4 linked regions of the Neurospora crassa OR74A genome follow. The protein of the gene in region 1 binds, or shares a complex with, the protein of each later gene. Links are inferred from orthologs where the notes say so. Each region holds a gene or a part of one and is shown in the gene's direction. Other genes may lie near its edges.

Region 1 (7,209 bases):
CTATCGCGAGCGATATCCTGAGTTTTCAAACGCAAATTCGCCGTCTGCAGAGGCAGCTCGACTTCAAGATGGAGGAAAACAATCATCTCCGCAGCAAGTTGGCAAGCTTTGGTGCAGGACAATGTAGTCTACCGACAGAAGTCAGCGTACGGCGAAGCACAAGCATCAAACTGAGCGAGCACTTGCGGCAGACGGAACGCGAGTGTAAAGCGTGGAGAGATAGAGCAGAAGCGGCGGAGATGAGAGTCGCAATTTTGGAAAGGTTACTGAGGAGGAAGATGGATGGAGAACCATATAAGGAAGAGAGGACAGACTCTGAAGCCAAGGCACCGCCCACTACCCAGCACATGTTTACAGCGGAAGTTGACCGAAGCAGTGGGACTGTTCGGGATCGGCTTCGAAAGTTGTATGGTGTGCTGGACGGCTGCTCTGAAAGTGATCCCCATGAAGAGTTGGAGGAGGAGGAGGAGGAGGAGGAAGAAGAAGAATGTGCTCAGAGGTGTGCTAGTGTCTCGATATGGAGTGACGGAGAAGAAGAAGACCATGGACCGTCCAGTGATGAACCAAAACGGAACAGGGACAACCAGTGCGTGTCGCAGGAGAAAGAGGCGAATATTCAGCAGAAGAATTTTGTAGGGGAAGGCGAAAGCGATGATGCGGAGCAAGGTTTAGACGTATCATTTGGGCATGAAAGTCGTAGACATCATCAAGAGACGGATGAAAAGGTTGAAGATCAATTATCTGCGATAGTGGGAAGTGATGTGCATTATGATTATGAATGGGTCGAAGAGGAGGATGCTCATGAGCGAGACGATACAAGAACAGAACTGGGAAAAAGGCTGGCCCGGTGCGCAAACATCAATCTTCTCGGATGGAAGACATGCCAGTATTGCGAGGAGGGGTTGGCAGAGGGCGAAGCGAAGTCGGAAGGGATGGCACTGATGGGTAAGCGGATGGCGGATGATGATAAGAATGGGGAGGAAGAGGAAGAGGAAGAGGAAGAGGAAGAGGAAGAGGAAGAGGAAGAGGAGCGAGAGTGTGACAAACATCGATTTGTGGATATAATGGAGCATGCGGAGATGCGAATCGAGTAAACAATGTTGAGAAACGATGAGTTTATTGCGGGGACACGCTGTTAGGAGCTAGTTTCTGGCTGTATTGTTTACTGATTTCCCCTTTCGGACGGCTGGTGAAGAGGGGGGGGGGGGCAATAGTAGGAAAGTCAAGAATACCTTAGGATGAGTGTATCAGACGACGATACATGTTTTCGTTCAAATAGACAAATGTTTAGCTGCTCTATAGGATTATAGACAGCATCAATTGGATGACATGATTCTTTACTTGCCCGCCGGCATCAAGGTTCATGGCTTGTATTTGTACATTGATTAGGCGTTTTCCACGCCCTTTTAATCTACTCGTGTCTGATATAACTATTGTACAAGACAGGACAGCTTCAGCTACCGGCAAAGTCCGTCCCACTGCCACGCCACAAGTCGTCGTCGCCACCGTCGTAACGTGACGACTGCCGCTCTCTACAACAACAGCTTTAACAAGAGGACGATACTGCTGACCACAACGCTCGCACATGCACCTACTACACCCCAACCCAGACGCCCGCTTTTTACGCAATGCGCTTGACGTACTTCCACAAGCTCTTGTACTTGGGCTTCTGCCTCTTGGCTTCCCAACCCCTGGCCTTGCGGGGCGGCTTGAGCGAAGCAAACTTCTGGCGCTTGAATTCAACCTCAGCGCCGGGAATGCCGTGCCTCTCCATGACCTCGGCCGTGCCCTCGTCCCACTCGGAGCGGAACAGGTTGAAGCCGACAGGCTCGAGGTCGAATTTTTCGCGGAAGCCCTTGAGCGAGAAATTCTCGCGGTTCTCCAAATGCTTTTTCAGGGCCTCGCCGTCGATCTTGGCACCGGGCTTTTGCTCAAGCACGAAGACGTTGAGGCGGTGGTAGGGCGAACCCTTTTGCGCGAAGGGGGGAAGCCAGGGCTTGCCGACGTCGCCCTCGACGCGGTCGCCGACGCTGCGCAGGGAGAGAACCGTCTTCGACGGGTCCCATGGGATGTTGGCCGCCAGGAAGTGGCAGCGACGCTTGAAGTTGTCGTGCGTGACGTCGGGAACGTCCGAGTCGATGACGACGACAGTGAGGAGGCGCTCGCCCTTGTCGAAGACTTGCATGCGAAGTGTGGGTGCAACCTCGGTCACGCGCGAGTCGAGGATGGCTCCCGGGGAAACCTGGTAGCCACGGAAGGAAAGCTTGACGTCCATGGTCGGGTCGAAGGCGGGCAGAAGGTCGGGAACGACGTGGAACTGCGAGATACGCTGCGCAATGATTTTGTAGTCCATGGAACGCCAGCGGCGCTCGGCCATGAAACGGTAGACGGGCTTGGTCATGTCACCTGGAGGCAGAGAAACGTGTTCGTTAGACTGAGACTTGCGAAGCGGAGTAAACGTCATAAGAAAAGGAAAGGAAAATACAAACCTCTGCCATCCTCGAAACGCCTCTTCACTTCGGGGTCGTTGATGTCGGCCAGAATCTTGAGCTCCTCAATATACTTCCTCAAGCTCTTGATCCGTGTCTGCTTGGCGGCCTCGCCGCCCTCGAACTCGCTGGCATCCCGCGCCTCGATCAGCTTGATCTTCTCCGTCTCCTTGACAATCTGGGCGATTTTGGCCGCGCGGTCCTGCTGCAGGATCTTGCGCGCATCCTGGAAACACTGGTACGGCAGCTGCTCGAAGGGGAGGTTGCCGGTGGTGGCCAGGGCGGCCCTTCTCCTTCGCGACCCAAGCTCTGGACCTCCGACTACTGTGTCTGCTACTGTCGCCTTAGCCTCGGTTGCCGAAGGAAGGGGTGGTGGTGTTGTGGTGGAGTCGACAGGAGAGGTGGTGGTGGTGGTGGTGGCGCCCTCCTCTTTGCGCATCGGGGTCGAGGAGAAGGGCCTAACGGCGGCAACGGCGACGGACCGGGTCGAACATGTCGCAGCGCCGGGGCCGGTTTGCCGGAGACAGCGGACGAGTGGCCGCGCGACCTGCTGACACGTCGACATGGCGGGTGGGAATGTGTGCAGGCGGGCCGGAGGGGAGAGTATTGGAAGTGCGGGATCGCTCTCAATCGAGAGGAGCTGCACTCAAGGTTTCGTCGACGGGGAGGACGGGGTCAAGGACGGGACAGGGACGGGACGGAGGGTTCGTTGGTCCTTCAATTCGTTCCATGCTGCAGCCCACCTGCCCGGACTCGAACTGCGGCCAAAATTTCGTGGACCCCGGGGCCGGCAGCACAGTGCGCTCATTGGAAGTACTTATAGTGGGGGTTGCAGAGTAGCGGGCGTGCCCCGCGAGAAAGCTCGCCAGAAACGGGTACTCGATGGCTGCAGCGCACTGTACGTGCACGTTGCCCGCACTCCAGATCTTTTTTCTCCAGACTCCGTCCAGTCCCCTCGTCGGCCGAATCGTTGCGACTTGACTGGGAGGACCGGCGCCCGCGACGACCACCGCATATCCCGTCAGAGCCCCCGTCTCGGTCCCGTTCCGTTGTCCCTCCCTCGCCCCGAAGCGCGCTCCACGTTTCCGTCCGCACAGGCCCGTGGTTGCTAGTCTCTCTTTTCCTCCCGCGAACAACTGCCTCGAGCACCACCATATCATACCTGACCTCCACTACATCCGAGTTGCATTAACTTGTAACTCCCGTCACCTTGCCATATCACAACGCCGCCATGGCCGGCAAGGGTCTCAAGAGCCTCAACGAGGCCATGAATGCGCTGAGCATTGCTTCCAAGTCATGCAGGGCACTGCCGGTTTGTCCTCCATATGTCCACCGTCTTGCTACTGACCCGCCTACGACTTTCGCTCACCAGTACAAACCATGTCCACTAGATGCGCCAATCCTCTATTCTTCCCTGCAGACGGTCGATGGCCTCCGTAGCCACCCCTCCTGCCGCCAATATCACAAGATCGGTCTCGGAACCATGGCAACCCAGTATGAGCACCAACACGACTGCCAACCTCGACAACATCGCCCGCGCTGGAAAGGTACTAACCCACGATTCAGTCACCAACGTTCCTGTGACCGTCTATTCCTTCCCCGAACTCGAGCCGCGCTCCCTCGAATCCTACTCAGCCCGTCACCTTCACCTCCCGCTGCGTCGCGATATCCTCCACTTGGCCGTCATCTACGAAGGTGACTCGACACGACGGGGCATGGCGTCTACAAAGACACGCTACGAAGTTCATGGTTCGCACAAGAAGATGAGTCCCCAGAAGGGTACCGGTAACGCCCGTCGTGGTACCCGCCAGTCACCTCTGATGAAAGGTGGTGGAAAGACCTTCGGCCCCAAGCCCCGCGACTTCAGCACGAAGCTTAACAAGAAGGTCTACGATTTGGCCTGGCGCACCGCGCTGTCCTACCGCTACAAGCGCGGCGAGCTCATCGTCACCGAGGACGGCCTCGACCTCCCCCTTCCCAACGATTTCCTCTGGCTTGCCGGCGGCGGTAAGCTCAGCCGTGAGCTTGAGGACGGCTACGTCCGCAAGTGGGTTCACGAGTTCATGACCAGCTTGAACTGGGGCAAGGAGGCTGGCCGGACGACCTTTATCACGGGCGACAAGCGCCCCAACCTCTTCACTGGATTCGAGTTGGCCGGTGCCGAGGGTCGCGCTTTGGAGTTGTGGGATGTCGATGTCAAGGATCTTTTGGAGACGGGCAGGATAGTGATTGAGCGCAGCGCGCTCAAGGAGATGATCGAGGACCACCAAAGCGACCTCGTCACCCGTGTAGCAGTCCAAGGGCTCCGCCAAAAGGGTCCCAATCTGGGTGAGGTGCTCGTCAGGGCGCCGAGATACTAGACAGGGAAGAAGATGGAGAAGAAGCAGCAGCAGCAGAAGTGAATGTGTGTGTGCAACCACCGGCAACACTCTTGTACCATATGAATCGCGCAAGGAGGGCGGACTGAAGAAGACGGTTTGTCCAGCACGATGAGTGTAATATTCATGTTCCTTTGTACGGTGTACCTACACGAGTTTCCCTTGTTATTCGGAAGCAATTGGCTTGCCTTGTTCCCTCTCTGCATTGTGATAATAAGCGAGAACTGTGTAAAAGCCAAGGGGTTAAGTAGAACGGTATAGTAGTCTGTGACTGTGACACAGTTATGCGCAACTAAAATGTCATTTCTTGGAGTGAAGTTGCAGTGTTTCATTCACCACTCACTACTGCTGGCAATGCCTGGGCAGCCTTGCCGGTATGACCCCTTTGCCAACAGGAACTGCAGTGAAGTGAACAACTGAAGATGGAAAGAGGACGAGATGGAAGTTGCAGCCAACAGCCAACAGCCGACTGCCTGAACAGCTTGGCAGTCCCGCCTCAGCCCGCTGCCGGCCCGCCATGGAATTCCTCCCGGAATTTGCACTGGTGCACGGACCAAGGCTCGGGACCTCCCCGCGCCTATTTAACCAAGCCAACCCTTCCCCCAATCTTCAACTTTCCTTCTCCTTTTTTTTTTCCTCCATCCAAGTGCAGGGGTTTTACGCGTATCAGTGAGGATTCGTCCGAGATCGCGTTTTTGCTAGTTGAAAACTACATACCTGACCGCTCTCAGTTGGCTTCGGCTGGCTGGGGAATTTTTGGCAACCCACAATCCTTTCTCGGACTGGAGATTTCTTCATTTTTTTCTTCATCTTTCAATGCCTACGGTTCCTTGTCGAGGGGCCGTGGTGAGGAAGGAAACCACGGACGAATGCATGGCCCTATTTGTTTCGGGCTTTGGGATCGCGAACTTGCTGCTTGGGTTCCGTAAAGATCTGGAGGGCCCGTGTCTTCATACGACTTGTGTCGACAGCGCGGGGTCTGTCTGGGGATCGTGATGCGGTGTTGTTAAATTCGATGGTTTGAATTGTCTGGGCTTGGCGGTCATCTGCATGTGGTCATCTGAGACCAAGAAGTCACTTCGCAAGCCTGGTTTTATTCTTTGGATCGGAATGAAAGCGACGAGGGGTGTCCGGAACGCTGATTTGTCCATGTGTTTTTTGGACTTCAGCCGCCAGTTGCAAATTGTCGTGATATCGCAATCGGTTGCCAGAGATTGCGCAGCGTTGAGGTTCGCAGTACTTATAGAATCGGCCTTGTATCAACTTTACGAGAAGCATGCATAAATATCTTGCGTTCGGGTATCCAGCTGAGAGATCCCTCTCAGCTCGCTTGCCTCACCCGCTCACCAGAAAACAAAGGTCGATCTTGTAACCGTAGACAAGGCTTCGGTTGGCTTCTTCCCACTGCCGTATCTTGCCCATCAACATCGATGATGCGACAAGCGAAGTCCGGTCCGGTTCTCGCTCCCCACCCAGACCCTGGCACCACCAGGCTACCGTACACGATATAGCATCAAGACAATTCGGACATTTCTTCACGTAGTTCAGGGTCTAAACCGGCGCACCATTGTTGTCCAATCCTGTCGTTAATCGTTCCTTGTCTGCGCATACTGTAATCAAAGGTAGTATGGGTAATTTTGCTGGTCTCAGGGCTCTTTCGTTTCAATGCAAAACATATTCCCCTGGCATTCAGAGGGACGAATCATTTGCCAAGGGATGTTGTATGGCTGCTGGATACAAGAGACCTCTCCTAGACCTTTCCGCGATACCTCTCCAACACCCAACCCAGATCGCAAGATCCAAAATCATGGCATGGTTGTAAAGAGGCACACGAGGTCAGCATGTCTTGCAGAGTTGAGCTGTCCGCCGAGCCGTAAGCCTCAGCAGCGGAGATACATACAATGTCATATGGGTGGGAGAATCGAGAAAAGGACGGGAAGTGGGAATGCCGATTGGCCGGCGCGACGATTTCCGGACTATGCCAAGACTAGAACCTGGAAGTGTGAAGGCTGGAAGGTCCGTCGCCGTCTCACCATACGTTGAAGTCGACTGTCACTGTCGGGGGGCCCGTGGTGGGCATGAAGACTCGACGCCGGGTTTCCGCTACAAACTTACTTGCGTAGTGTAGGTAGGTGGTGTACTGTTAAAGAGTTTTTACTCCACTCAGCTGTCTAGACAAGCCGTAAGATTGGTCAGGTTCGGCAACTGGCCGTGTAAAGCTACGGATGGTTACTGTAAAACTGTATGATAGGCTGGGCGCGCGACACAGTGCTCCGCTGAAAACCTGTGGAGGTGCGTCGCGCTGCTGGCTGGCGAATGGCCCTGCAGTCCGTCCCGTCTTT
Region 2 (7,636 bases), on another chromosome or scaffold:
GCGGTTGCTGGCACGGAAGCTTTGCTCAGTCATCGTTGATCAGGATGACGCTTATGTATTGGGCATGATAGAAAGGAGAAGTACTTTCTGATCACTCATGTGATGTATATGTTAGATGGTGTATGGTATCAGGGCCGGCTGGGGTGAATCTGGGTAAATATCCTGGCGGACAACTGGCGTGCGGTAGTTTTTATACATTAGGATCTTTTCAATGAACAGACATGACTTTTTTTTTTTTTTTTTTGTTGCATTTTGGTCATCGTTAAGGAACTTGGACTATGTAGTGTAGTCCACTGTTTCCGGCATTGCGCAAGGTGTGCTGAACAAGTCGGTTGATAACGTGATGACTGCTCATTCTATTCTTGTTCATCTTTTTTTGATATTCCACTAACTTGTCCATCCATTCTGATACGTAGCCTAGTAAAGATTTGGAAAGCTTGTCCGAACGCTAGCAAGGAGGCAGGTCTGATAATTCTATGAGATGAAGCACGCATATGTATATCGTGATCAGCGACATGGATGGTGGAAATGAATATTCTGAGCTGGGCAGTATGTGCATTGCGGCGTAGCTGAGACTTCAGTAGATGTGGCCGTGCTTGATCGCGACATTGACCGGAGTGACGACAAGCAAGTGTCGGGGATGGAGAACGATCCATGAATGATCTCAGGAAGGTTCATATCCAAAGTCAAGGAATGAATCGACAGGACACCAAGCAGCCAGACAAGACGCGTGCCACAAAAACGAGGCTTGAGAAATTCGAGACGGGGAAGCATTTCACGAAGTGGCAAGAATAACACTTTCAAAGAAACCAGCCCCATCTTGACTTTCATCTAGCGAAGTCTCCTCACACGTAGTGTACATGCCATGGAGAAGGAGACTGACTGACCAGACTGACTGGGCCAAGCTCATTTCTCAGAAAGAGCAAACACACACACACACACACAAGACAGTCTGCAGTATTATTACATACATACAATGCAAAACCGTCACGAGAGTTCGCAGGAGAAAAATATGTAAGCAGATTCTATCTAACAGCAACCCGGTAGAGCGTTTATAGGCAGGTACCGCTAGCGAATTCGTCTGCTCATGGTGGTTCCTCTCGGCACGGACTAAATGATCAGGACAGTTTTGGAGGAAGAGAAACGTCGTGATGATAAGGAATGGTGCCTTGAAGAAAGAAAAAAAAGAAGAAGAAGAAGGAAGAAGAGAAGGGGAGGGGGGATTGGTGGCAGTTTTATTGCAGCAGTTCAGTTCAAAAGTTTGCTGGACCCGCTTCGGTCAGGTGAGTGGTCATGTGGGGTCGTAGGAGCCGTGAACCTAACTGAGGACGTGAAAGTTATGGTGGGGTAGGTAGCGGGGGGGATTGGTTTTGGAGAAGAAAAAGGGAAGCTTTCGAAAAGGGAAGGCGGTGAAGGAAAGTAAATCGGTTGCCAAGACTCAATTGTTCAATCGCGACCAGGAACGAAACGAGCAGGGAGGGGACCTGACTGATCGGTGCGCGGCGGCAGCGCGGCAGGCGGGAGGGCCCCAGGGAAAGAGTGGGGCTGCGGACATCGAAAAAGTTCACGGCCGGTTTCCCGCGCTGTGTGTCGCCCGTCCGTCCGCTCTGCCCTGCCTGCCTGCCCGCCCGCCCGCCCGCCGCAGCGACCGACCGACCGACCCCGTCCCGCATCCACCCCGAGACTTGCGAGAGAGAGAGAGAGAGTTGCGTTGAGGATTGGCGCGCGCGCAAGATTCACCCGTCCTCCCTCCCTCTCCCCGTCCCGTGTCCCGTTGTCTACACACCCGGGCCCCGTTCAACAACCAAGTCATATATACTGCCCATCATGTCGGCGTCGAGTAGGGGAGCTGCTCTCCTTAGGAGTATGGACCACTTTTTCTTTATCTTCTTTTCGTATCGTCAACTCGTTACGAATTGGTGTTTTCCATGCATGGCTTCCGATCGCAAACTTTAAGCTTAAAGACACCATAACTAACCCGTCGCAATCTGTTCTTTCTCTTCCTTCCAGGCCAACAACGGTCCATCTGCCTACAATGCCGCAACCAAACCCGAGTACTTGCGCCCGCCGGCGTCACCAGCGCACCTAGACGTTTCTACTCCGCCGAGGCCTCTGCCACTGCCACTGCCACTGCCACTGCCACGACCACAACAACACTACCCCCTCCTCACCCGCCCGTCACCACATCAACAGGCACCCACGCCGCCACCTCGACCTCGTCGCAAATCTACCGCATCAAGTCGGGCGTGATCCTGACCCGCCCCCCGCTGCTGACGCGCGACCTCACCCCCTTTGAAGAATCCTTTTACTTTTACCAGAAGCGCCTCAACGAGCGGCTGACGGCCCCCTTCCGCAAGGACTTTTACTTCAAGAAGGACACGGCCGCCGACCTGGACTGGCGCATCAAGCTGAAGGAGCGCCACGGCGTGCCCGCCAAGGACATTGGTCGGTACAACCCGCGCGGCCGGATGGCGTGGAACGACGAGGTGCTGGTGGGGTCGCAGACGTCGTCGAGAAAGCACATGGTGGAGAAATTGCTTGCCGACGCGGAGATGCGCGTGTCGGAGGATGGCGAGGAGATCCCCGCCGAGGACCGGGTCCCCGTCGAGAAGCCGATGCCGAGACGGACGGAGGCGGATGAGAAAGGGGATGTCAAGCGGTTGGATCGCGCGCTGGACAAGACGCTTTATCTGGTAGTCAAAAAGAAGGCGGACAAGGAAGGCGAGGAGGCCAAGTGGATGTTCCCTACGGGCGTGGTGCCTACGGATGAGGGGTTGCATGAGGTTCGTTATATTCCCTTTTTCCCCAACCCAACTTCCAACCATTTTCCAAAACTCGCGGCCAACTAACCTTTGATGATGACGATAAACAGACCGCAGCCCGCATCCTCGCCGAGTCCGCAGGCGTCAACATGAACACGTGGATCGTCGGCCGCGTGCCCGTAGCCCACCACGTCGTCCGCCCCGTCTTCGGCCAGAAGGACGGCGCCCTGCTCAAGAAGGGCGAGAAGATCTTCTTCCTCAAGGGCCGCATCATGGCCGGCCAGGCCGACCTGACCGACAACCTGCATGATCTGGTCGACTTCAAGTGGCTCACGCAGGAGGAGCTGCGCAGCACGTTGGCGGAGGAGTACTTCCACAGCGTCAAGGGCATGTTTGCTGAGAGGTGAACAACACAACACAACAACACCCTATGTAGCCTGGTCTGGTGAAGTGAAGTATGGAAGAACAAGGTTGGAGAGGTGATGATGAGTCGATGGTCGAAGTCGGTGAGACTACACCATTATCTTCCGGGGAAATAGAATGGGGAAGTGCAGTGGGTGGCGGAAGAAGAAGAAGAGAGAAGCATGTGTACAAATGTATTGATATCAAAAGATGGTTTTAGTCGGTCGGTGGCAAGGTACAATTGTTGTTTATGCGCTGAGTAGACCTGGACCGCCCCCTAGCCGAACACAATCAAAGGTCTCGAGGAAGAGAATCAGAGATGGTTTGGAACTTGACTTGACAGTTCAAAGGCCTCGCACGCCTCAGCGTACTTGACCAGGCCGAAGCCAAGCTCGCATGCCATGTCTGCAAGAAGCGGGCGAAGGCTGACATGAAGCACAGGGACGAGAGAGGGTGTTGTTTGTAATGTAAAAACATATGCTGTGTATAGAGATTTGGGATGAAGATGTCATACAGGATGCGAGATGGTTGGTGAATACTACCAGACATCCGCTGGGTTGGTCATACCGCTATCTGAGGTGAAGTCTGATACTAACATACACAAACAAGACAGACTGAGCTAATCACATATCTGTGACCCGATTCTGCATTAGAGACGTGGATAGGTATGGCAGTGACCTCTTCAAGATCCAGCCTTGATCAATGATGAACACCGGTTCTCCCGGCTTGAGACACACAGTCAAAGCTTGTGCCAGCCGCAGACCAAAGCAACGGTACTTTTGAGCTGGTTGAAAGTCCACACCACGGCGGCCTGTAGGATATCTTCACACGTCTCCTACGCCTCCATCAGGACATCCTCCTTGATCATCCATATAAGGCCGTTGGCTTACACCTCTAGCTGGGACACTTCTCGCGCGCGTACCAGTGGTGTACTCCTCCATTCCTCGTACATCATTAACAAATTACTTGTTGGCATTACCACACCACACACAAGTCAAGTCTCAAATCTCCACCCATCTGAAAAGCAATCTGAATAACACACAAATCGTGCCCAAAGCCCACACAAAAAGGAGCTCATACAGGAGGTCCCGATGATCATCCTAGAGATTCCGAATCCGGGACTTTCTGAGCGGAATCGAAGTGGTGAGCGCCAAAACTTCACCGTGGTCAAGGACCAATTTGTTTCCAAACTTTTCCCAGAAAACTGCCTCCCACGGGGGGAGACGATGAACCTCAGGTGCCTCCTGCTTCTCTTCCTCCTCCTCCTCCTCCTCATCACTGCCGTCACCGAAAACACTGGGCGGGGTGTCAACCATGCTTCCAGTCATACCAGAAGCGACAGAAGAACAAATACTTGACCGACGACTGATAATGCTGTTGGGCGCAAAGGGATTGAGCGTGAAGAAAAGCTTGCTTGGTTTTACCGTCTTCATTCTCATGCTCCCGCACGTCTTCTCGGGCCGAGTCTTGCTCAGCCACTGCTCCTTCTGCAGCTTCTTAGCTGCAACCTTGAGGAATGCGAGGTTGGAATACCAGCCGTAAAGACCGTGTTCTTCAGCCATCTTGTTCTGGTATTCGAATCCTCGTACTGGTGTGACCCCGGGTCCTCCCTCTTCCTCTGCGGCAGAGATGAACTCAATTGAAGGCTTGTGCCCGTGGAACGAGGGAGATGGATAGTTGTTGAGGGGATACAGAATCCTGTTATCCACGATCCGAGGGAAAATGTTGTGTATTTCTTTTGTGAATCCGTCGAATGTCTCTGGAAGGGGGCCCAAAAATGTCGAGTAAAAGTGACACAGCATGTCGAGCTGAGAGTGTATGAGCAGGATAGGTCGTCTGAGCCTGTTTCTATCCTCAGCTGCTCTAAGTCTGTCGCGGAAAGCCGAAATAAGTTGATTTCGCAAGTCACGATCCACCACCGATACGTATGCCAAGCATAGTTCGGGCTCGATGTCGTTGGCAAATTGTCCCCCGAGGAGGGCCTCCACCACGTAGAGAAATCCTGCAAGAACAAACGTTAGTGGAACCAGAAAGGCCTGGGTGTCATGAAGTGCTATTGGAGTCGCTTACCTGACTGTCGCGCCAGTGCAATGCGGCGGTTCGTCAATCTCTGTGAGCATCGATCAGTAAAACAGTCCTAAACTATTGAATTGTGGCTGTTTCCCTGACCTCAATGGTGAGCTCTGTGCGACTGAGCTTCGTGATCTGCATGATTCGATTGTCATCTCTAAGAGTTGCGCGACAGTCATCAAAGCAGGAGTAGACAAGTTGGCAGATGAGTCCAACTTGAAGGCTAGTAAGCCGTTCGCCTGAGGGGGTTGCTAAGTCAAGAGTTTTGTCCTGTAAAGGAAAGCGGGCATGAGCTTGATGACCAGCAAGTCGACAGACAAAATCAGAAGGAGTCATCGTACCTCTTCTTTCAGCCAAGATGTGATCTGCTCATTGGCCCATGCCCGAAATTTCTGGGACTCGGCATCTAGTTTGTTGATGTCCAATGGCTTCTTGGTCTCCCAAGGCTGGAGGAAACGCTCCTCGACTGTTTGCGCCTCCCAGCGGGCCAAGTAAGGAACACCCCGTTCCCAAGCTTCGTTAAAACCCCAGCCGTTTGTCGCCAACTGTTGAAGGGTGTCGTATGAAAAGGAAAACGTTCGATTGACGGTCTTTGCGATGAGTTCCGCCTGGATATTTGCAGAAAGGAACCAAGGGGTGATGGCAAAGTTGAAGCTGCGCGCAGAGTATGCTGAGACTCGGAATGTCAGTTACCTCGGTGAACACCCAGGCTAAGAGATTGCCATCGTACGTACCCTTTTGCTTCTCGTCGTATTGGAGGCAAGTAAGGCCAATCTTGGTGATGTGGTAAATCTTGGAGTGATTTACCAATTCGCGGTAGAGCTCCTCCTTGGTCAGGTTAGCTTTGACGACAGCATCGGGATAACCGATTACAGAAAGCGAAATGAACTCGGCATCGGCAATCGCGTCAAGGATAGTGGGTAGATGGCCCCAGAAGTTGACGTTGTCGACCTCCATTTTGACAGAGATCAGGATCGAAGCCGCGATCTAGATGTCCATCAACATAAGTTTTGAGCCTGATGCGAGCAGATCTTGCGAAGTTGAATGCCTAACGACCCTGGAGGAAGGATGATGGTAGGAAAACAATGTTCGAACGCCGAGGTGGGGTGAAAAGGTAATGAAACCCCCGTGAGGAAAATCCCAAGTGTCCTCACTGCCCAGGCATCGCGGTAGACGCGACTTCCGCTATCGGCTTGCCTTCGTCGTACCTTCCTCGCGAACTGGAAGCTGTGCCTGTCACTTCCGTGTGCTGCAGTTCCTTCTTCGTTTGCGACGGGAACGTCACCGACGGACACCTGCCCAGTCCTGCCTGTTTGGTGCCTTGACCGTCCCATAGTATGTTTCATGATGTATCATGATGTATCTGCCGGAACATCAGATGAAGGAAGAGTAGGGAATGTCACCCGGCCAATCGAAGTACCGGGGAAAGATAGAAAAACGGGCAGAGTATCACGTCTGGTTAAGATAATGAAATGAAGTCTTACTGGTATATCGTCTATCACGGGTCGTCAAGCCAGAACGAGAATATCGTTGGCGCTCTTTGACCTATTTTCTCTGGCATATCAAGGCTCTCTCTCTCTGCCTTTCTTGTTCATCACTGGCCCTACGAAGCGCCATCCCTTCTAAATGCTATCCACCAAAGAATCCAACCAGACAAAAACAACGTCACAGCTCATCGCCTTTAGGCCCAGAACTCCTCCAGTGCTCAGAAAGATGCCCAATTCCATGCAGAAAATAATTAAAAGGAAAAGAAGTGAGTTACGCAGGGACCACCCCTCTGTTGGCACTGTATCCCGAGTTGCTGTCTTCTTCTAGTCAACGCCCGCATACAAATCGACAACAATGTTTACGGCCGCCACGAGAATCTCGGCAGCAATAAGGACAATCACTATAAAGTAGTTAGCATGATCCCAGGATGTTGTTGAGGGTGTATGTGTGCATGGCCGCTTACCGATCCACTCTAGTTTCTCTCCGTGACCGTGAGTTAGCTGGTCCTTGAGAACAGCCAACAGATCGGCAATGACATCCATACGCTCTGTCAGCAACTTGACACGCTGGTCCATCTCGAGGTAACTGCGCACGGCCTTGTACAATGGTTCGAGTTGTGGCTCGACCCAGAACAGCTCCGGTGTATCGAGGACGGAGCCGTTTAGGTGAATGTTGACACGCAATATGAAGAGCTCTCCAATTTGCATATTGATCTGTTGCCGGCTGAGGTCGATCTTGCCCGTCAATGCAATCTGCGTGGGGATGTCCTTGCATGTCTCGATGGTTGAGGCAATGAGTTCTTCAAAAAGAGACGTCTATGTGATAGGGTTAGCCAGCAGTCTTACGTCAGGCACAAAGTATAGTAAGGTGAGAAACCAACCTTCACACTCTGGGCGAGAGCGTGGGAAATGGCC
Region 3 (7,113 bases), on another chromosome or scaffold:
GCATAGTAGGCGATAGTCTTGTCCTGTTATTATGAGTATTAGCCACAGGATGATATGGCGAGTATTATAAATCCATCTGTATAACTTACCCATTCTCCGCGGCCAAGGATCAATCGTGCCAAGTACATAGCAGCAGCAGCGACATGGCTGGGACGGTAAGGCATGAAGCGATGGTCCAGCAAGCTGATCTCCATCAGGTACTTGCCAAGGGTACGGGATTGAATATCGTAGTTGTCTGCCTTGGAGATGCGGCGGAGAAAGTTCATAGGGTTGGGGTAGCTAAGGTCGTAGTTGAGGGTCGATAGAATGAAACGCTCAGCACTGAGGATCTCAGCTTCAGTAAAGCCGTCATCTGCAACGTGGCGAAAGTTGGCAATATGGGGGGAGAGGACCTCCTCGTACTTGGAGGCAACAAACATTGCAGTGATACCCACGAGCTGAAGACGATCGAGCTGGACGACCTTTTCGCTCAAAAAACGATCGATGATGTTAACGGCAAGGAACAGCGTCTCGGGCAGCAGATGAAACCGAGTATGAACTTCAATGAGCCAGTCGATGAGAATGCCACGAGTCTTCCACTCGAGGTCGTCCTGGTGGCTCATGTACTGAGGGTTCGGCACTGATTTGCACTCGAGGTCGCGGAGGTACTCGAAAATTTCCGTCGCATACTCGGCAACCATAAGAGGATCCTCGAGGTCTTCAGTGTCAAGGTCCTTAACACCTGGCGGATACACTGACTGAACAGGGACGACATCGCGGACGACGGGAGCGGGGGGCTCGGCCATCGGCTTCACAGCCTTGGAGGGAGCATCGTTCTCCTTGGCCTCAGTCCTGGAAACCTTCTTCTTCTCGGGCTCTTCGACGTGGATCTTCTTGCGGGCCGGTTCATTTTCAACAGGTGCTGATTCCTTGATAGGGGCGAGCTTGGATGTGGACGGAGGAGGCTTGCGCTTGGCGGGAATGGTGCCAGCACCAGCACTGGGGCCGACCGTCTTGTTGGGCTCTTTGTTGGATAACGCACGGCGGGCAGTAGTCGCAGTACGGCTCGTAGCAGTTGTGGTCTTCTTCTGGATGCCACTCGGCTGGGCCGCCTTCGAAACTAGGCCGGGCTTCGCAATCGCTTTCTTCGTTCCCGCAACTTCAACCTTGGTGACATTGCTGACGTCGCCCAGTGCATTCCGCTTACCGACAGTGCGAGCGGCAGTGGCGGCGGTGGTTGTCGAAATCGTCGTCTTTTTGGTCTGCATGGTTTTCGCGGGCATGGACAATTCGTCGACATGGAGAGTGGCCGCCTTGGCCCTCGTCATACGTGTCGTGGTTGCTGTACTGTTCTCGTCATTTTCGTTCGCGAGTGAACGCGGGTTCCTCGTCCGCTGCAGGGTTGGGGTTGAGTTAGTACAAACATAGCATGGCTGTGGACAACCAATTGCATGATTGAACGACAATGCCAACTGTGCAGTAAAACTTACAAGATTCGGCATTCTCGCCTAAACCTATGCTGGCACAGAAATTGATGTGAAATGTGTCTACTGACGGGGAGGTCAGCTAGCTATTTGGATGTTTCGTTTTTGGCGAAGTTCGAGGTGGAGAGACTGGTTCTTATTGAAAGACCGATCCCTGTCACGGAGGGAGGGTTGACGCGAACGACGAGCGAACGACGAGGGAATTGTGAACACGGACAGTCAATGAGACTAGACGCACCGACTACAGAGCCCAAAGATGTCGGGAAGAATGAACACCGGCGGTCGGCAGTGATGTCGCTGTCGGCACGTTGTTGAAGCCGGAGATCAACCCTGGGTCCCGCAACAGAAGGTTGGCTGAGACCGTGAAGGATGTGCTGTTGTTGATCGGGAATGTTGCCCAATTGGTGACGACGGTCGGGGCAAAGCACGCAATGGCGACGTCCGGAAAGATTGACTGATCGAGGCCAAGGGTTGCCGTCGTGATGGCAAGGCCTTGCGAGTCCAGGTGATGCGGAGTGGGAATGCTAGTTGGCGGACGGGAAAGGGAGGTATGATGTTTACGAGGCAGAGAAGAATGGGAGTCTTGTTTTTGCGAGGTCTTGGTGGAGGTGCCAGTGCCAGTGCAGCCCAGTGGATGGGGCTGGAGTGCCAGTGGACGGAGCGGGCGTGTGGACACCCACCCAGGTACCGGATCGGACGTGCTGGGACTGGGGCAAAGTACCTCTAGTGCCCTTCGAGGTCACTAGTGCAGCGAGGCTTTGAAGCTTTGAAGTCCAAGACACCGGAAAGGGAACAAAATTACCACAACAAGTGATGACGCGCCGTGCAATATGGGCTTCTGTCAGACGCACGTCTTGCTGTTCCCTGCCTTGCTAAGTTGTCGAATGATGAGGATGCCGTTGTCGAATAAGCAAGTCGAAAAGGTTGTACTGCCGAAGAAATGCAGGCTTCAATGGCCGGAGTCGAAAGTTGCTGTTGTTGCTGTAGCTGAAAGTCGATTGTCGTGCGTCCAGGGAAATGGTTGTTAGTCGGATGGTGAGTGTCGAGTTGCAGAATCCGGAGTCGAGAAAGCGGCCAGGAAATTGTACTTGGGCCGGGCGCTGTTATGGAGCACTGCAAGCAGAAGGGACAAAGAAGGGTCGCACCTCAAACACGCAGTGAAGGAACTGAAGGCGGCAAGGCCACCACAGGCCACGTCCCTCCCTTGCTGTCATCCGCCCGCCGTCAGGGCAACACTGGCAACCGCAGGGCAATTCGGTCAAATCAGCTTCTGATTGGTTTAAACTGTCCAACAGGCTGCGCGTGTCCAGCAGCTGTCAACACTAAGGTACCTTACCTATCCTGGGTCAGACGCGACTGGAACCTTGGGCGGGCAGGAATGGAGCACGATGCACGCTCTTTCCCCGCGCCGCACTGCACCTTCACGCGGTGATGACTTGGTGCCTTCCTCCCGCGCCCGCGTTTTGGAGCGCTGTTTGCAGCACTTGTCCCCTGGAAAGAAACAAGGCTCTTCACCAAAGGGCAGTGGCTGCACCACACAAGCCACACTATTAGCAGCCACAATCGTCAGGGATCGCAAACCAATGCACGGCTGTGATTGGCGCATCAGCCGAGCAATTTTCCACAAGCAGTTATCGACGACAAGCCGGCGACGAGAACCTCGACGAGCAGCCTGCGAGGACGTCGCATTCCGGTTGCTGGAAATCGCAGCAACTGTCCCCTCCAGCACCCTCACCTCCCCAGAGCTCACCGCCAGGAGCTTGGGATATCCGACAGCGATCGAGCAGCCATGCTGCAGCCTCAATTCCGACCCCTCCTTGCGGGGACAGCTTCCTTTGCCCAAACCGTGCTGGGCCGCACCGTCGCCAGATGCTATGCCACCAAGGCCGCCACACAATCAGCAAGCAGCACCAGCACCAGCAACACCAGCAAAGATGCCAAAGCCAAGATCGTCACTCCCTACGTCCGGGACGCCGGCATGATGAGAACCTACAAGCCGCACACGCCCGGTATCCGTCACTTGAAGCGCCCGATCAACGACCACCTGTGGAAGGGCCGGCCGTATCTTCCTCTTACCTTTCCCAAGAAGGGTCAATCTAAGGGTGGCCGTAATCACAGTGGTCGCGTCACCGTCAGACATCGCGGTGGTGGTCACAAGCGAAGAATCCGCATGGTCGACTTTGAACGATGGATCCCCGGTCCGCACACAGTCCTGCGCATTGAGTACGATCCCGGTCGCAGCGCGCACATTGCGCTGGTGAAGGAAGAGGCCACAGGGAGGAAGAGCTATATTGTTGCGGCGGATGGTATGAGGGCTGGAGACGTTGTGCAGAGCTACCGGTCCGGTCTTCCCCAGGACCTGCTCGATTCTATGGGTGGTGTCGTTGATCCTGGTATTCTGGCTGCGAGGACATGCTGGAGAGGCAACTGCTTGCCTGTGTCCATGATTCCGGTTGGAACCCAGATCTATTGCGTTGGCTCCCGTCCGGATGGCAAGGCTGTTTTCTGCCGCAGTGCCGGAACATATGCAACCATTATTTCCAAAGAGGAGGAGACCCGTGAGGATGGTACAAAGGTTATGACGGGCAAGTTCGTCAACGTAAGACTGCAGAGCGGAGAAATCAGAAGGGTCAGCAAGGACGCTTGCGCCACCGTTGGTATTGCCAGCAACATTATGCATCACTACAGACAACTGGGCAAGGCCGGTAGAAGCCGTTGGCTCAACATTAGGCCTACTGTGAGAGGTTTGGCGATGAACGCAAGTGAGTAGACTCCCAGAACAATCCGTTTGTCAAGCGAGCAAAACCAACTAACGGCCTGGTAGATGACCATCCTCACGGTGGTGGTCGTGGTAAGTCGAAGGGTAATAGGCACCCTGTTTCTCCTTGGGGTACACCTGTAAGTCATGCCCCTTTATTTCCTTCCTTCCTCTGAACAGACGCCTTACCCTCTTTTTCTGTAGGCCAAAGGTGGTTACAAGACTCGCAGAAAGTCCAACGTCAACAAGTGGGTGGTTACCCCCCGGGTCCGCAACATGGGAGTCCGGAGGAACAAGAAGACTACATGAATAAAATAACCCACTGTGCTCAACTTGGGCTATATACCCACCATCTTGTACAATATGTAGTGAAACTTATTCATTTGCTCGCAGGCCGGCAGTTCGAGGGCTCAGTATATCACCGGAAGGATGCCATGTGTGGGTATTGGGCCCAATAACATCGTCTGTTGGAGATCTGCCGTGTTTGTCTTTGTTTTCCACTTTCAACTGAGCAACTCTACGGCGATGTGGTTCAGGGCCCGGCCAAGGCCGTGACTGTGCCTATAAATCGGCATACGACTTCAGGAATGTACCAAAGACTACACATGGGGTTTGTTAGACTCCGTTGTCATATACCGACCCCAACTTAACAAATTTTTTATTGATTTATTTACTTATAAAATTTGTTTAATTTTCCTAAAAAAATTAAAAAATTTTTTTTTCCCTTTTTTTTTTTTTTTTTTTTTTTTTTTTTTTTTTTTTTTTTTTTTTTTTTGCGTTGATTATAGACAACAGACTACAATGAAAGAAACTGAAGGCGTTTGGTCATTGGAGTCGGTCGAGTTGTCCAATCACATTTTGCGTTCATCTCTTCTGCAAGGAGCAGAATAACAATGCCGTCCCCCTTCGCCCTTTCAGATCTGCTACCGGTTCTGTGAACGCCATCCTGAAAAAAAAAAAAAAATAGGGGCGTAAATAGCCGCGTGGGTAGACCTGAGCGCAGCGAGATTTATATGCATTCCAGCGGTGGTATCTTTACAGTGGTTGACTGTGTAAGGGCATATCACGACAGCGTCTCGGTATGCGCCCGCAATTCGGCCATACATACAACGCCATGAAGGAACGAGGGTCGACAAAAGGCAAGCATAGTCTCATCTCCATAGAGGTATACCACAAGATCAACGGGGGTGATGAGTACACTATTTGAAGCGTCTCTTCGGTGGTTTGGGCAGAGTTTAAGGTTTACGCCATTCTTTTAGTGTACATACTATTTCACAACGTTTCGCTCGTTCAGGGCAGTCCCCTTTGTACTTCTGGAGATTGAATGGGATCGATGGAATCGGTAGTTGTACATTAACTAGTAAGGAAAACTGAGTGCGCCACCATGTCTGGTACCTCACGACCCCGACAGGTCGGCACAATAAATATATACCTAGGTACCTAGGGTACATCGTACTTCTCTGCGGTGCTTCTCACCCTACACTAAATGAGTTAAGATGCACTAACATGGAAAAGCTGGGGAGTAGGTAGGTACCTATGGTTGCCCCCATACATACCTCATCCATGTCGGGTAGCGTTAGAGGTACGCGGGACTGGGGTTCCACTTGGCTAGGGGCCACTGCCTAAACCACCCCCCTGAATGATCTAGATTTCCAGGTTGTTACAAGATCGTTGGTTTCGGTTGTAACCTCAACCGGCATGCCACCGAGGAAGCTGCCATTCTCTTGTTTCCCATCCGCTCTTGACCGAATAACTCGTTCACCCTCGATAATCTCGTTTTCACATTGGTTTTCTTCTCTTCGCTTCATTTAAACTTGGTTATAACTGTTCTCATTCTTTCTGAGCCGCCGTTACGGGACTCACTGCATCGCCGCTGGGAGTACTTATTGTCGACCTGTCAACTGACTTCAAGCAGATGGGAGGAGTGCGGACTGCGGGGACCAAGCAAAAATGTATGTAGTGTACCTAGTGCAGAAACAGGCATGGGGAATCTATGTTAGCGTTACACGTGCGGTCTTAGAAAGAGGCTTAGACGTCTTGGGTAGGAAATCGTGGACGCTGATCGCTGGGTGAAACTCATTTTCTGTCAGACCGACAGGTTCGATACAAGAATGAACTGTTCAACCTCTGCCGTGCTCTGCACACTCATTACATGCACGCGCCAGGTCTCCGGCTTCACGTACATACTGCGTACTCCCGTCACGACATCTTTGTGCTAGTCCGGCTAGGTTGTAGGCTAGGTACTAGTACTTAGTTTCCCCAAAATATCATCTCGGTTCCCAACCACTGCAGCCCATAGGTTTGTATTAGCCTGGTCACACCTCTTGTCGCTTCACCCTTACATTCAGCTGCGGCTTGCGCCTATTGAAACATCCTCCTATTACCTACCCACGCTACTCTTTCCGGCTGGCAAACGCGACCAGGCGGACTGCTAAACGGACTGGACGCAATCTGACCCAAACTTGCGCTTCCGATCTCTCATCTTGCCGTCCCTTTTTTGCTCGAGGTTCTCTCTCCCATCCGACCACCCCTCGGATTCTCCTTAGGTCCTCATGCCCGACGATTCAGAAGACCTCCTCATCCCTCCAGCACATGCTCGCTCGATTTCACCATCGCATACCGGCTATACACCACCAACTTCGACGACGCTGATGATGGACAATCTCAGGCACACCCGAGCTGGTGGGCTAAAGAGGAAGAGAGGAGGATGGGTGGTGGTAGTCTCGTATGTCTTTGACTGGGTCATTATTGCTGTTGCCGGAGTCATTGGCTATATTTTTGGGGCTAAAACCCCAAACAAGAGACCTTTCTCACTTTACGATCCCAATATCTCGTATGTGAAATCAAACAGTTTTTCCTGACAGTTTCTGCTTGATCCATTCAATGGATGTG
Region 4 (7,013 bases), on another chromosome or scaffold:
AAGGCAGAAAGTCAACCACTGCCCTTTGCCATTCAGTCGAGCCAGCCGAGAGGTTTTGCTTTCACGCAGAACACTCAGCCGGAGTCATCGCAGTTTTTTGCATCGCAGCCCATGTCACAAATTGTTGCAGGACCGCATGGAGGTAGGCCCTCTCATGTGAAGAAGAAGCAAAAGGTGAAGAAGCGGATGGGATTCAGATAGATGAATATGACCGTATGGCAACCTCGTGTTTTACGTGCTTGATCCTGACGTGATGTTGTGTGACAAATAGATATGTGTGACCGATGGTGGAGGTAGTTCGTTTGCTTGCTGATCGATGGATGTTTGGATGAGAAAGTGCGGAAAACACTCGAAGATTCGGCGTTCAATGTATAGGCCAATTCTTGTAAACGACTTTCGTCAAAGTTGTTTGCATGCTATTCTACATCTTCCATTTAGCTTTCCGATCTCCGAAAGGCATTTTTGTTGACGGTCGTCGTTGAAATGTAGTTGGTTGCAATCACCCACTGGAAGAACTAACGGTCAACTCAAATCACGCAGGTTTACGACGGAAGCATTCTGTCTTGGCCCCTCACTTTCACCAAACTTCAACAACCACCCCGTCGTCAATATCAATCATCAAAACCTTGACAACACGAGGCACAGAAATCTTATATTCCAACACCTCAACTCAGGACAATGTCGCACCACTGCCACGACGAGCACGACGACCACCACCACCATCATGAGGGCGGGGCAGAGCACGACCACTCTGACGACATCACCCCCGCCGTGCAGTTCTCGCTGTACCAGCACATCAACTTTGACGAGATCACCACGCTGAACGAGCAGGTGCACGGCTCCGGCCAGGCCATTATCAAGAAGACGTGGGCCGAACGATTGGCGACGGAGCCCGAGGTGGTGAGCGATGCTGATGAGCAGCTGATTATCAACGTTCCGTATGTCACACTACTACTTTATCACACTTGATCACTCAAGTCATTCACATCATCACGAAATTTCAATGTCACTCCTCTCCCGTAACATACACATCATACAATGACCCCATCATACACACCCAATCACTAACACACCGACCCTTCCCGAATAGTTTCACAGCCCAAATCAAACTGCACTCGGTCCTCCTGCGCACCTCGCCCTCCCCCTCGGCCCCGCGCACCCTCCGCCTCCTCGCCAACGCCGACATCCACGATTTCGGTCAAGCTGAGGACTCTACCCCCACACAAGAATTCGAGCTCTCCCAGACTTCGGAAATCCAGGAATTGCCCGTCAAGCGAGCCAAGTTCAACGCCGTGCAAAGACTGTGCTTGTTTTTCCCGGATAATTTTTCGCAAGGAGAGGAGGATGAAACGAGAATCAGTTATATTGGTTTCAAGGGGGAGTGGATGACGTTGGGACAAGCGCCGAAGAATATCGTCTACGAGGCGGCGGCTAGGCCGACGGATCATAAGGTTAAGGGAACGGCGGATGCAAGAGGTGTGGGATATAACCGTCAGGGGTAGTAGAGAGGACCTTTTGAGGGGAGTGAGGAATGAGTGACGGGTAGAAAGAGGTTCGAGAGTGGATAAAGGAGCTACCTCTAGTGATGGGTCAAACCGGGTTTAGTTCTTAGTCTGCTGCTTTAAAGGCGGCAGCATACCAGATAGGAATCAAGGTTGGGAAGGTTCTGACGATGGCTTTCGGGCATCAAAGGATTTTCAGGTCTTATGTAGCTTGGAAAACTTCAGTAGGTTTGTTTCTTTTGTTCTCAAGCAAATTTACATGAAATCATCCTCCCAGGTCTCATCCCGATCCTGATTGCTCGAGTTCATCATGTTCTCCTCAGCAAAGAGCTCATCGTAGGCATGATCCTTCTGCCACTTCTTCTCGGCCCGCTCCTTCTTCAGGCGATCCTCCTCCTTCTTCCGCGCCAGCACCGCCGCCTGATCCTTCTTGCGCAGCTCTTTGAGATGCTGCTCCTTCTCCTCTCGCAGGTCCGGGTGCTTCTCAACCTTGGTCTTGTTCAGACGGTTGACGATAGCATTTTCGCGCTGCGCGATCAAAATGCGCTTCACCTTCTTCTGATCCTTGAAGCTGACCTGGCCGACCGCCATGCTGCCGTCCTTCTTGAGATTGGCCCATGGGGTATAGATGATTGTGATGTTGTCCTTCTTGTTACCTTTACAAAAGCACAGAGTTAGTCCTCACGAATTCCCCCATGACTTCCTGACAGTAGAATTCAAAAGCAGCAACTTACCCTCGATGGAGTTGGCCTTGGTCAACTGACCAAGGTCGGTCAGGAGCTCCTCGGGAATGTTCTCCCATGTCCAACCCTCTGGGAGACGGAGGTAGATATGAGCACTGGAAAGTTTGTCGACATGGAACTAAGTAGGGCCTAGTAATGAGAAACAGAGCATAATATGACGAGAACCTCATGGGGAGTCATACCCTACGAAGAATAGTTAGAAAATGCCGAACTAGGCTTGGCCGGGGTGAAACTTACCATACATCCTCCTCCCAGCCGTGTTGGATCAACTCCTCGTCTATAAAATAGCATGTTAGATGAGTGACGAGCTGACATCTATATCCAAGTCAAATATGCAATGTCCATGAGTGTGTCAAGATATATGCATATTCCACAAGGAGATGCAGAATACCACCAATTGTGGCTGATGATCATCTTCACGTACTCTCAAACTTGTCTTTCCCCACATAAATGAAAGCCGGGGGACTGACGACGGTCGAAGTGAAATAGAAGACCATGGTTGCTGATGCCTTTGGAAGAAATGAAAGATGGGAATATTGGGTATCTCAAAACGGCGACAATGAAAAAGACACTTCGTGCAAGAAGGGAAACCAAGATGCAAAAACGCGATTTCTTCTCTGGGGCTGTGTGGTGGTGGTTCGAGTGAAGATGTTTTAGCGGTTGAGTTTGGGGGATCCAATGCGGTAAAATGCGCCCGCACTCCAGCGGAAGTAAAACTACCTAAGTGAATAGAAAGAAGCAATTAACCCTAACCCTTCTTGTAGAGATGTCACACTCTGTACACCACAATCCGCCAAATACATAGTACCCGCCTGTGAATAGCCGCCCCTCCCCTGTCAATTGTGAATCCCCGGATGCCGAACCGATCGACGTTATCGGGGGGGGAGCATCCCGTTACTGAATTTCTGAGTGGCTATCAAATTTCTGCTGCTCCGTGCTTCGAGCCGGCGACCACCACTCCCGCACCCGCCCCAAAACCACCTCAACGGCCGCGCGCCGAAACGACCTCCCAACTCCGCCCCCTCCGGTTCGCGTCTCGAAGACAGCCGGTGTCCTTTCCATTCCCCCCACTCGACGCTCCGGGGCCCCGACATCGATACAACGAACACCGTCAGGTCCAATTGACTGCGACCAACCCCACCAAAAGCAACACAACACCACCCAACCCTCCCCTCAGACTTATACACATACACGATGGCGCCCCGGCTGCCCGCGCGCTGCTGGAGGCAGCTCTCCCTCGTCGAGAGGTCAGCCACCCACACCACAACCACCGCCGCCGCCAGCTCCCTCCTCCTCGCCGGCCGGACCACACCCACCTTCTCCGCCTCCTCGCCATCGACTGTCTTTCCCTCCCTCCTCCCTCAGATCACAAAGCGCGGCGTCAAGTACGGCTGGAGCACGCTCCCGAAGCGCAGCAGGCCCACACGATTCAACCAAGTGACGCAGGGTCTTCCGGCGCCCACCTCGGGCCCGGCCGCTGCCCTCAAGCGCCGCGAGAAGACTACACCCCTGCGCACCGGCGTGCTCGCTGTCAAGAAGGGCATGACCGTCTTCATGGGCCGCACCGGCGCCCGCATCCCCTGCACCGTTCTGCAGCTCGACCGGGTCCAAGTCGTCGCCAACAAGACGCGCGCCAAGAACGGCTACTGGGCCGTCCAGGTTGGCCTGGGCGAGCGCCGCGCCGAAAACGTGGGCGCCCCGCAGCTCGGCTACTACGAGGCCAAGGGCATCCCGCCCAAGCAGACGCTCGCCGAGTTCAAGGTGCGCAACCAGGACGGCTTGTTGCCGGTCGGCGTCCAGCTGTTTCCGGACTGGTTCCACGTCGGCCAGGTGGTGGACGTGCGCGGCATCACGCGCGGTATGGGTTTTGCCGGTGGTATGAAGCGTCACGGCTTCGCCGGTCAGGAGGCGTCGCACGGTAACTCGCTGAACCACCGTACCATTGGTTCCGTCGGTGGTTCGCAGGGCTCCGGTTCGCGTGTGTTGCCCGGCAAGAAGATGCCCGGTCGCATGGGCGCGCAGCAGCACACGGTCCAGAACCTGCCCATTCTGATGGTGGACAACGAGCTCGGCATCGTGGTGGTCAAGGGCGCGGTCGCTGGTCACAAGGGTGCGGTTGTCAAGGTTCAGGATGCTGTCAAGAAGGCTCCTCCCCCGGAGGAGTTTGTCGAGGCCACCAAGCAGCTCCTCAACGAGCGGTTCCCTGATGCGGAGGAGAAGTTGCAGGCGGCGAGGAAGTTGCACTTGGAGCTCAAGGAGGCGAGGAGACAGGGCCTGATAGATTCGCTCATCAAGAATGGGCTGACAGAGAAGGCGGATGGAAATGCTGCGGTAGAAGCTTCGGCTTAAGAGAGGGGGGCTGTCTCTGGTCTGTAGTATGTGTTTGTACTAGGTTTATGGAAGGGAATGTATGGTAAAGCCTTCCCGGTTTCTCATTTTTTTTAGTTCTCTCTTGTATGATACACACGCATCGTGGGGTGTTAAAATGTACAGCTACCGAAAATGTATAACAACTTGAACATACAACCCTTGCCCGTGATAGGTTCGTATGTTCTCTCCCTATATCTTACACATATTCCTCCTTGACAGCCTTCGGGTATTCAATCAGAGAGCCAGACCACGATCCTGTCCTTCAGCTCATCCTGTTTGAGAGGGGGAGAGGGGGACCACCACCTTCCCCGGTTCCCATATATATCCTCCCTTTTTTCAAAACTATTCCCTCCTTAAGAGCACCCCAAAACAATTACTTGGGCATCTGCCTGAAACCCCTGACCTTCGCATCCTCTGCATCATCATCCAGCTCAGGTTCCATCGCACGGCCGTTGATAGCTCTGAACGGATCGCCCTCCTCCAGCAGGTCAATGACCTTGCCGTCCTCCGTCTCCAGACTCCACTCGGTCGTCTCGAACATGCCTCGGGGCGTGGGCCGGAAGCTGGCGAAGCGCATCACGCCCGTGCGCTTGGTGCCCTTGACATTGAACTTGATGTCGATGCGGCCGTGCAGCTGGTTCATCTCGCCCGAGATCCACGGAATCTGCGCCTTGAAGTAGATCTCGTCACCCAGGTACTCGCGCGCGCGCTGGTTCGTGCGCAGCGCATAGAGGGTTGACTCGACCACGGGGGAAGAGAGTTTCTGGTAGTTGAAGATTGCGATCGAGGTGGCGGCTACGATGCCCAAGAAGATGGGGAAGGTGCGGGACCAGCGGAAGCGGGAGGTTTGGACATCTGTTTTTGTGGTTGCAAAGGGAAGAGGGGTCAGTAACTTCCATGGTACTAAGGAACTCAATTGGGGTGCGGAAACAGCAGGAAATACAGAACACAGAGAAGAGAAGAAGAAGAAGAAGAGACACGGGGAGAACATACCAGGAAGTTCACGATCAGCTCGCCTCTCCATCAACGGACCATCGCCAGGCCTGGGTGCCGATGTGAGAGATCTCCTCTGGGGTTGAGCGCGGCCCTTGGCGCAAGGGGAAGGCCTCGCCAGCGCCCTCTTTAGCGCCATACGTTGTGTTATCCTAGAGAGCATTGTGTGTGTTTATGTGTGTGTGAATGATATGTGTACTTTCGTGTGAAGGTTATTTTTCAGACGAACGATGGGGAGGGACGGGACGGGAGGATGTGTTGACACAAGCTTCTGGAGTTCGTCCCGTACACTAAAGCTACCCGACCTACCTACCAAATGGAAGCTGCCCTGGCGACGATTCCTACGATAACTCGTTTATCGATAGGCAGTGGGGCGGCACTACGTCGACCACCCCACTACGATTTGATCAGTGCATAGCCTTTGGGCAATATTCTTGTAGCAGCAAGTACCCAGCTGTCGGGGTGGCTGGTGAGGGTTAGGAGTTGACGAGAGAATCTCGGGGTTGTGTTAAATGCTTCCTCCAAACAGCCCTTGTCGGCACCGCGATATTTGGGGGCTTTTTATGTTCTTTTTTTTTTCTCGATGAGACTATCCCGTTCTGTTCAGAAGTTGCAAATGCATCATTTCTTTGTCCTTCGTTGTCCCAGGTTCAAGAAGAAGAAGAAAACAGGATAAACTCCTGTTGAGTTGCCGGTTAGCTTGCCAATCCATGAACTGTGGTTCTGTTGCTGTATCGTTCAGCATTTCTCTGCTTATATGCCTAATGACGATGGCCGAGAGGCAAGTTTCCTATTTTGGCTCTTACCTTCAAAGCGTGGCGCTACTATTCCACCGGGCTGAGAAGTATGGTCTCTTCCTGTCCGCCTATGATGCAGTTGGCTTCAACGCCATATGCCGTGAGACACGGTCAATTTCTATCCTCCAGTGGGGACTGGACTCTTTTTACTCTCAAGGTTGCGACCGGCCTCGAATAACTCCCAACAAAGAATAGTATTCGTCGGTACAGGACGTCACAATATCCCATATCTGACAAGGCAAGCTCTGTTGTGTATAGCCACAAAACGGGTTACAACCTTGCGAAGCGAGCCGAGCCTCGTGCTGGATGCTTTGCTTCCACGGATCAGCGCGTGGCAGTTCCATGCTGCAGACTAGGCATCTCTCATATGGAAGGGTTCTCGTGGCGTTGGCTGGGCATACGCAGTGATATCCCTCCTTTGGAACAAAGAAGAGAAGTACGTACCCGGTCGAGCCAATCTCACTGCACATCATGAAGAGGCAGTGTCAGTTTTGTGTGCTTACGTGTGGACAAGCTGACAACCACCACATTTGGAAATGGGACCCAATCCGCGTCCCCAAAGACGGCTGAGAGAAGGCCTTTCGCCCAACGAGAGAAAAGACACACCG

The links.
Region 2: NCU01474 (region 1) and NCU07560 share a complex: the UniProt entries of both Saccharomyces cerevisiae proteins name them as parts of the mitochondrial large ribosomal subunit. The link is inferred for Neurospora crassa OR74A from reciprocal best matches to the Saccharomyces cerevisiae genes YML6 and MRPL17.
Region 3: NCU01474 (region 1) and NCU02757 share a complex: the UniProt entries of both Saccharomyces cerevisiae proteins name them as parts of the mitochondrial large ribosomal subunit. The link is inferred for Neurospora crassa OR74A from reciprocal best matches to the Saccharomyces cerevisiae genes YML6 and RML2.
Region 4: NCU01474 (region 1) and NCU06749 share a complex: the UniProt entries of both Saccharomyces cerevisiae proteins name them as parts of the mitochondrial large ribosomal subunit. The link is inferred for Neurospora crassa OR74A from reciprocal best matches to the Saccharomyces cerevisiae genes YML6 and MRPL9.

Annotation. Positions count from the first base shown.
Region 1 is NC_026505.1:4,617,378-4,624,586, reverse strand, and holds NCU01474 (60S ribosomal protein L4), read left to right. Parts: upstream 1-3,328; 5' UTR 3,329-3,720; coding exon 3,721-3,801; intron 3,802-3,880; coding exon 3,881-4,849; 3' UTR 4,850-5,184; downstream 5,185-7,209. Other genes in the region: NCU01472 (hypothetical protein), read left to right, coding at 1-1,094; NCU01473 (mitochondrial large ribosomal subunit YmL35), read right to left, coding at 1,622-2,406, 2,490-3,054. UniProt on the Saccharomyces cerevisiae protein: Component of the mitochondrial ribosome (mitoribosome), a dedicated translation machinery responsible for the synthesis of mitochondrial genome-encoded proteins, including at least some of the essential transmembrane subunits of the mitochondrial respiratory chain.
Region 2 is NC_026503.1:4,356,546-4,364,181, forward strand, and holds NCU07560 (50S ribosomal subunit L30), read left to right. Parts: upstream 1-1,480; 5' UTR 1,481-1,827; coding exon 1,828-1,864; intron 1,865-2,010; coding exon 2,011-2,783; intron 2,784-2,872; coding exon 2,873-3,169; 3' UTR 3,170-3,734; downstream 3,735-7,636. Other genes in the region: NCU16690 (hypothetical protein), read right to left, coding at 508-831; NCU07559 (hypothetical protein), read right to left, coding at 4,265-5,166, 5,235-5,274, 5,576-5,910, 5,969-6,191; NCU07558 (sporulation protein RMD1), read right to left, coding at 7,046-7,122, 7,186-7,537, 7,603-7,636. UniProt on the Saccharomyces cerevisiae protein: Component of the mitochondrial ribosome (mitoribosome), a dedicated translation machinery responsible for the synthesis of mitochondrial genome-encoded proteins, including at least some of the essential transmembrane subunits of the mitochondrial respiratory chain.
Region 3 is NC_026501.1:3,453,703-3,460,815, reverse strand, and holds NCU02757 (mitochondrial 54S ribosomal protein RML2), read left to right. Parts: upstream 1-2,868; 5' UTR 2,869-3,252; coding exon 3,253-4,225; intron 4,226-4,287; coding exon 4,288-4,361; intron 4,362-4,425; coding exon 4,426-4,530; 3' UTR 4,531-4,899; downstream 4,900-7,113. Other genes in the region: NCU02758 (G2/mitotic-specific cyclin-B), read right to left, coding at 1-23, 90-1,373, 1,470-1,481; NCU02755 (PAP2 domain-containing protein), read left to right, coding at 6,774-7,054. UniProt on the Saccharomyces cerevisiae protein: Component of the mitochondrial ribosome (mitoribosome), a dedicated translation machinery responsible for the synthesis of mitochondrial genome-encoded proteins, including at least some of the essential transmembrane subunits of the mitochondrial respiratory chain.
Region 4 is NC_026502.1:2,064,368-2,071,380, forward strand, and holds NCU06749 (mitochondrial 54S ribosomal protein YmL9), read left to right. Parts: upstream 1-3,096; 5' UTR 3,097-3,439; coding exon 3,440-4,594; 3' UTR 4,595-4,804; downstream 4,805-7,013. Other genes in the region: NCU06752 (hypothetical protein), read left to right, coding at 1-201; NCU06751 (DUF1000 domain-containing protein), read left to right, coding at 679-938, 1,091-1,502; NCU06750 (coiled-coil domain-containing protein 25), read right to left, coding at 1,758-2,158, 2,237-2,340, 2,483-2,522, 2,670-2,742; NCU06748 (hypothetical protein), read right to left, coding at 4,989-5,470, 5,609-5,771. UniProt on the Saccharomyces cerevisiae protein: Component of the mitochondrial ribosome (mitoribosome), a dedicated translation machinery responsible for the synthesis of mitochondrial genome-encoded proteins, including at least some of the essential transmembrane subunits of the mitochondrial respiratory chain.